Canis lupus familiaris: one gene and its partner. The protein of the gene in region 2 purifies or fractionates together with the protein of the main gene of each other region. This does not show direct contact. Links are inferred from orthologs where the notes say so. Each region holds a gene or a part of one and is shown on either strand. Other genes may lie near its edges. The genes, in order: PKN1 and KBTBD8.

The links.
Region 1: the proteins of KBTBD8 (region 2) and PKN1 purify together in Homo sapiens (affinity purification with western blotting; 3 studies listed by BioGRID and IntAct, with this or other methods). This does not show direct contact. The link is inferred for Canis lupus familiaris from reciprocal best matches to the Homo sapiens genes KBTBD8 and PKN1.

The regions. Positions count from the first base shown.
Region 1 is NC_049241.1:48,568,738-48,572,558, reverse strand, and holds part of PKN1 (serine/threonine-protein kinase N1), read left to right. Parts: intron 1-271; coding exon 272-417; intron 418-713; coding exon 714-927; intron 928-1,705; coding exon 1,706-1,900; intron 1,901-3,539; coding exon 3,540-3,649; intron 3,650-3,748; coding exon 3,749-3,821. UniProt on the Homo sapiens protein: PKC-related serine/threonine-protein kinase involved in various processes such as regulation of the intermediate filaments of the actin cytoskeleton, cell migration, tumor cell invasion and transcription regulation.
Region 2 is NC_049241.1:24,609,743-24,613,563, forward strand, and holds part of KBTBD8 (kelch repeat and BTB domain-containing protein 8), read right to left. Parts: intron 1,471-3,821; coding exon 1,007-1,470; 3' UTR 1-1,006. UniProt on the Homo sapiens protein: Substrate-specific adapter of a BCR (BTB-CUL3-RBX1) E3 ubiquitin ligase complex that acts as a regulator of neural crest specification.

The DNA of each region.
Region 1 (3,821 bases), about 24 Mb from region 2:
TGTGTGGATAGTGTACCTGTGTAGATGACTGTCCCTGTATGACAGCCTAACTCTGTTCCTGGGATAGTCCCTGCGGGTGACAGTGTTTGGACAAAAGAGTGATTGCATCTGGGTGGAAGTGTGACTGACCGACTGTGACCGCTTGCTTGGGAAAAACGTGATACGTCTTGGTGGCCAGTGCCTGTCTCCATGCATGAGTGTGCGTCCGGGGCTGGGGTGGCTGAACCCGGGTCCTAGGCTGGCCTTACCACCTGGCACCCCACGCCCACAGGGAGTCCAGACCTGGGGGCCGTGGAGCTGCGCATCGAGGAGCTGAGGCACCACTTCCGAGTGGAGCACGCCGTTGCCGAGGGTGCCAAGAACGTGCTTCGCCTGCTCAGCGCAGCCAAGGCTCCCGACCGCAAGGCCGTCAGCGAGGTGAGGGGCGGGGCCTCGGCGAGGGGCGGGCCCCAGCAAGGGGGCGGGTCCAGCAAAGGGGCGGGAATTGACCTGGAGGGCCTTGAGGGATGTGGAGGCTTCGGCCGGGGGCGGGGCTTCAGTGGGCGGCACCTCGGTCGGGGGCGGGGCCTTGGTCGAGGGCGGGGCCTTGGTCGAGGGCGGGGTCTAACGCTCCGAGAGCCAAGGAATAGGACCCCGATGGTTTGAGGGGTTAGGCCAGGTAAGACTTAGCTAGGCCCCCCCCCCCCAGCCACACTCTGTCCCTCCCGTCGCAGGCCCAGGAGAAACTAACCGAGTCCAACCAGAAGCTGGGGCTGCTGCGGGAGGCGCTGGAGCGGCGGCTCGGGGAGCTGCCCGCAGACCACCCGAAGGGGCGGCTGCTGCGGGAGGAGCTTGCTGCGGCTTCATCTGCAGCCTTCAGTGCCCGCCTGGCCGGGCCCTTTCCCCCAACGCCCTATAGCACCCTGTGCAAGCCCGCGCCACTCACAGGTGGGTCCTGCCTCCTCAGCTCTGTACTTTGGATGGCCTCTCCCCAAGTCCTGAGACCCCTAACCTAAATCTCCATTCTCCCTACCCCTGGACTCCCATCTCACTGTTCCCTCCGTTCTCCATTCACCCTAACCCTGTAGCCCTGGGCCCCATTTCCCTAGGCCAGACACCCCCATGCACTCTGGACTTCTAGCCCCGGCTTGCCCGCTGATTCTGGACTCTGGCCCCCATGCCCACCATGTCCCCATCACTATCCTTCCCTACCTGGCCCTGGTATTTCCTACAGCCAGAGCCCCCCAGCCCAGTCCCACCACCCCTCACTCTCAGAACCCTCAGTCTGGAACCATTGTCTTCTCCCACCCTAAAGTCAGCCAGCTCCTCCCTCCTTAGACCGCTCAGCTACTACTTCTCCCTTAGAGACCAGCCCTGCCCTAGACCCTTGCCCCCATCTCGGACCTCAGGTCAGCTCCCTGAATCCTACCCCAGAACCCCTAGTCCAACCCAGCTCCCCATTGCCTTGATCATCAGCCTGTGCCCTAAACCTATCTTCTGTCACTAATTCCCAAGCATTCAGAGCCCCTTCCCAGTGTGGCCCACCCCAGTCTCCCCCCTCCCCCTTGTCACGTATTTCTCACTTGGGCACAGCCATCCCAGTATCAGATCTCCTGTTCCACCCTGATTGTATGCTGGCCACATCTGGACATGTCCACTTCACCTGCAGTCCCCACCTTTTGGCCTGGCCCAGATGTGGGTCCCCCTGAGCCTGCCCCTCCCTCAGGAACTCTGGAGGTACGTGTGGTAGGCTGCAAGGACCTTCCAGAGACCATCCCCTGGAGCTCCTCACCCGCGGCAGGGGTGCCTGGGACCCCTGACAGCCGTACCACCTTCCTGAGCCGCCCAGCCCGGGGCCTTTACAGCCGCAGTGGAAGCCTCAGTGGCCGGAGCAGCCTCAAAGTGGAAGCTGAGAACACCAGTGAGTGGGCACTAAGGCCTGGAGGAGTGAGATGCAGTGGGGATCTTAGGGTGTCACACACTTGTAACACTTTAAAAAACTGATACATTACAGTCATTAGGATGGATTCTGTTAAGAAAAAAAAAAAAAGTGTTAGGGAGATAGTAGAGAAATTAGAATCCTCTGCAGTGCTGTTGGGAACATAAAGTCCTTCAGCCACTGTGAAAAAACTAAACATGGAATTACTATGTGATCAGTAGTCCCACTTCTGAGTGTATATACAAAAGAGTTTAAAGAAGGGACTCAAGTTGATAGTTGGACACTCATGTCCATAGCAGCATTATTCACAATGGCCAAAATGTAGCAGCAACACAAGTGTCCATTGACAGACAAATGGCTAAACCAAATGTGGTATGTGTGTGCGGTGGAGTAGGTAGTATTCAACCTTAAAAAGGAAGGGCGTTCTGACACAGGCTACCCCACAGATGAAGCTGAGGACATCACCCTAAAGGAAATAAGCCGGTCACAAAAAGACAAGGACTGTATTATTCCACTTCTATAAGGTACCTAGAGTAGTCTAATTCATAGAAATGGAAGAAGGATGGTTGCCAGTAGTTGGGTTGGAGGGGAGAAGAGAACTTTTGTTTAATGGGGACAGTTTCAGTTGAGGAAGATGAAAAAAGTTCTGGACATGGATGGTGGTGTAGTTGTACAACAGTGTGAACTGTAAACTTGAAAACGATTACAGTGATAAATTTTATGTTATATGAATTTTACCACTTTTTAAAAAATCTGATGTATAGGAAAAAGTATGTATAAAAGAGGAATAACAATGGAACAAACACCCACGTTACCACCACCCAGGTCAAGAAATAGAACTCTCTAGAAACCCCCTTGCCCCTCCTCCCCTTTCTAGTCCCTTTCCCTGTCCAGAGGTAGCTACTCCCCTGACGCATTGTTATCATTTCCCTGCTTTTCTTCGTAGTTTTAGCATCAATGTACACATCTCAAAACAACAGAGTTTAATTTTGCCTGGTGTTTGAACTTTACATACGTGGAATCATACAGAATGTATTCCATGGTAATGGCTTCTTCCATTTAACATAGTTTGGGAAGTTTATCCATGTCGTTGCATGAAGCTATAGTCCATTCATTTATTTTAACTCCTGTTTATTTATTTTTATATTTTTTTAACTCCTGTTTAATAGCCCATTAGACTATTAGACTGAGCCATATCAATTGTGGGGGCCTTTTAAAGTAAAATATAGTAATTGTTGAATATCAGTTAATAAGGCTATGTTATAGCTTATATATTCTATTTATAGATATTTCTAGTTTGGGTCCCTTATATACGCATATATGGATATATATGTATATATGCATCTCCCCATTATACCTGCATGCATTTTTCCAGGGTAAGTTCTTAGGAGTATATTGCTAGAAGTTGCATATAAAGCGAAAGTGAATTTGGATCTCTACCTCACATCATACACAGAAATCAACTGGAAGTTGATTAAACGCCTTGATGTGAAAGCTTTGTGAGGGTAGCGTAGCAGAATGTGATGGGTGGAAGGGAGGATTTCTTTACTAAGATATGGGCCAAGATGCCTCCCCCCAACTCCAAACATTTCCCGACATCCTCCTCCACCCCTCATTCCAGGCGAGGTTAGCACGGTGCTCAAGCTGGATAACACGGTGGTGGGGCAGACATCCTGGAAGCCATGTGGCCCCAGCGCCTGGGACCAGAGCTTCACCCTGGAGCTGGAAAGGGTGAGCTAAGTTGGGGGATGGCAGGGCCTGGATCCAGGAGGAGGATCCAAATCCTCCTTGGGCAGTGCCAAATGATGGCACCCGTTCCTCTCCCTCCAGGCTCGGGAACTGGAGTTGGCCGTGTTCTGGCGGGACCAACGGGGCCTTTGTGCCCTCAAATTCCTGAAGTTGG
Region 2 (3,821 bases):
CCTTTCACTGTACCGATAATGAAGGGATGGGTGGAGGATGGGAAAGGAGGTTGGGCAACAAAATGGCCCATGTTAGTGCAAACTGAGTGTCATGTTCTCACTATTCTAAAACTGAGTCCAGTTAGAGATCTTGCTATCACTTAAGCAGAGAATCTTGTGAAATCACAAGAGTTCAACAGGTAAAGTACTATGCCACAAAACCAGCATACCAACTTGAAAGGTAAGCACAGGCTCAAACAACTTCAACCCATAGAGCTAGACCCATGAATTCACTTATACTAGCACCAGCCACCTGCGAATTTAAGCCCTTTTCGGGATTCGTAAATAATGAGACAGTGTCAGCACTTGAAAAAGTTATCAACAACAACAACAACAACAATAAAAACAACTGCTACTTTAAAACTTTAGCTTAACTTAAAGTTACATGGGAAATATGAAACAAGCAGAGTAAAAGCTCTTTCTTAGACGGATTTGTTTTCCATCAACCTACTCTAAAAACACACTTAAATCTCAGTACACTTGAAAACAGTACACAAATATATTATAGAATGAGGATCTAAGTTAGTGCTTCTCTGTGTTGGAGAGGTCACAGCTAAAGTCCTAGTGATATTGCCTCAAATTTTTACCCGTATTTAAAATAAAAAGTCACAACAAACTAGTTTGGATGTCTCTAACCATAATACCCTAACTGCTCTTATAAGAGTGCATAGTTGTTGATTCATCTGGTATCTCAGTGATGAATTATCACAAAATTCTAGAATGAAAATGATTACTATATACCAGAAAAAAAATGCTGATAATTGCACTTTGTTACCTTTTGCTTAATGAAATGAAAACATCACAAGGATGAAAAGAAATCCCTCTCTACACTGTAATCTTTAAGAGCACCCATTGCCATGTACAAACTCTCTCAGCTTCTTAAATACTGACAGCACTTCTTGTATCATTGAAAGACTAAGTTCTCCAAGCACAAGATGCCAGTGAGCTCACTAAGGCCTGCTACTCATTAAAGTACTTTCTGAAGACACTGAGGGTAGAGTTTAGCAACAGCACATTCAAAATGCCGGCCAAGGTCCCAGAGGCGATCTGGGGTCTCGTACACTTTCATCCATTGGTCAGTGATGTCATCATATTGGTAAAGGGAATTTTTCCTGCTGGTTCTGAAGACATGTTCTTCAACGGTCACTTGAGTAGCTCGAACAAATAAATGCAGTTTATTCTGGAAAAGTACCAGTTTAAGGTATGGATTGATGGACTCATCACATGGAAAGTCCTTCTTCCGAGTCCATTTATTTAGCTCAATATCATAGGCTTCTACAGTAAACATTCGTTGATGATTTCCACAGGTTCCAGCTATGTAGTAGATAGAGTCCTTGTAGACAGCTGCTAAGCCCTGGATTCTAGGCACAGTCATGGGGGTTAAAAAACCCCAGTAGTCTTTTTGAGGCTCATAGAAGAGGAAAAATTCTCCTAAAAAAAAGAAAAGAAAGAAAGAAAGAAAGAAAGAAAACCAAGAATATATACATTTACATGTCTCTTTTTGGTTAGATGAACCGAAAGCATAATTTTTGAAAAACATAATTTTCTGAATCTTTCACTTTCTAAAATATTTCTTTTATAATCTCCAGAGATACATTATATAGTATAATATAACTTAAAACTTCTTCATTCCACAGCAGAACATAACCTAATATTATAGTCAACCTGATTTGGGGCTTTGTAGTAGGGAGGTATAAGGAGTTACTTTGGCTTAGAGGCAGAATAATAGTTGAAAGCTTGGCTCCATTTATTCCATTCACTTGTATATTTCAGAAAATTTATTTTAAGCCAGCTCTAAAAGAGCATTATCACTAATGGTTAGTCGGTAAGATCAAAGTATGTATACAGCTTCATCATGAATAAGCCACTACACATTTATATGCTAATTAATTAGAAGATAGCACATGGAATTGTTCAGATTTATGTCTATGGGCCATTAATATGTTTCCTTTAGTGCTGCTATAACACAAATCGTTAAGAGGACAAAACATGGCTTTGATAAGATAGAAAACACACAGTTCATGGAGTTGACTTCAGGTCACTTTCAATTCTATTTTGATGATAAAAGGGTGTGGCTGAGTCAGACTGCCAATATAAAAATGTCTAAAAGAATTAAACTAGTGAAGATTTACAAGAATTTGGCTAGCTATAATATTTGTATAAAATCCTTGATTTAAAAATCTGGATCTTTTATGGACATTAAGTGATATTCCAGTAGCCGCATATAGTGCAGCATAAGCCTCTATTTATATCAACTTTATTTATATAAAGAAGCTTTGTTTAGATTAGAAATACCTACTTCTAAATTGAGCTTCCCCTTCAAAACTGTTTTGAACGAGGTTTACTCTTATCTACAAACGTAACTGCCTACTTAGTAACACTATAATTTCAATTTTTCTTAGAAGAGCTTATTAAACCACCAGCTTTTGGTTGTATATATACCCTACCCTCATTGACTTTTTAAAAAAATATTTTATTTAAATTCAATTTACCAACATTACCCTCACTGAGTTTTAACAGGATTCTTAATAAAGACAATAGAAAACAAAACTTCCTAACATGCACTACCTCTCTACAAATTTCTTATAAAAAGATGACTCACAAGTTAATTTTTAAAATATGAAGTCCTCTTAATAACTTAAACCAGACAGCAATTAAGAAAACTAAATTTTAGAGCCTCAGATTTCTCTTATAGAAGATATAACCTCAGATTAAGCAATGTTCATTCCAGTCCTGAAATTCTATTAATTCATTGTTACTTTTAGTATTTACATTAATATATAACCTTTACCTTCCCACTGGAAGTCTTTTAATTAATTCTATCTAATGGTTAGCCAGCAAGACCAAAGTATATGTAGAGAAAGCTTCATCATACTGGATGATATAACCTGTCCAACCACCCTGGACAGATTATACATCCAGTCTTATCTTCCATATTCAGCAAGACGAGCAAACCTAATCATGCCCGTGCTTCTACTGAACTATAGTAAGGTACTAGATAGTTAATATTCCTTTTGGAGAATTAACTTGATATTGAAGTTTAAACAAGTGGGTTCAGGCATTTCTAGTCAAATAAAAGATGAGAGCGAAGAACATACTCTTAAATGGTGTAAGAGCTAAAAAATCATGTATATTTACACAGAATCGCTTTTTTCCTTGTTTTATAAACGAATAGTGTGAGGAAAACATATAAGCAATTAAGAAACCCAGAAGAGGAATAAGGATGCCAGTATTATCATCATCGCTTTCAACATTCAAGCAACTAAAATGTTTAAGGAGCCAAACACAGAGAAAACATTAGGTATCACAAATTAGAAGACCGGATCAAATATCTTACTTATACTTACTTGGTGCTTCTTTCTACTACTACTCTACACTCACCTTTGCCAGAGTATTAACCTTCAATAGTTTAAACAAAACACTTTTTAAAGCTAAATATATTAGATATAAATAGATGCTTATAATAACAAACGTAAAGAAAAAGGGGACATCTCAAAGCTTTTCAGTGAAAAAAAACTGAAAACATATTATGGAAGATATCATACACTGCAGTGAAATTAAAATCTAAAGACTGTAATTTCAAACTCTTTATAATTAAGTTTCATGACCTTCGCAATCATAAGGCTTATCGCAAAATTCTTTGTTCTTTCTTCTCCTTTAAACTAATCCAGGGATCCCTGGGTGGCGCAGCGGTTTGGCGCCTGCCTTTGGCCCAGGGCGCGATTCTGGAGACCCGGGATCAAATCCCACATCGGGCTCCCGGTGCATGGAGCCTGCTTCTC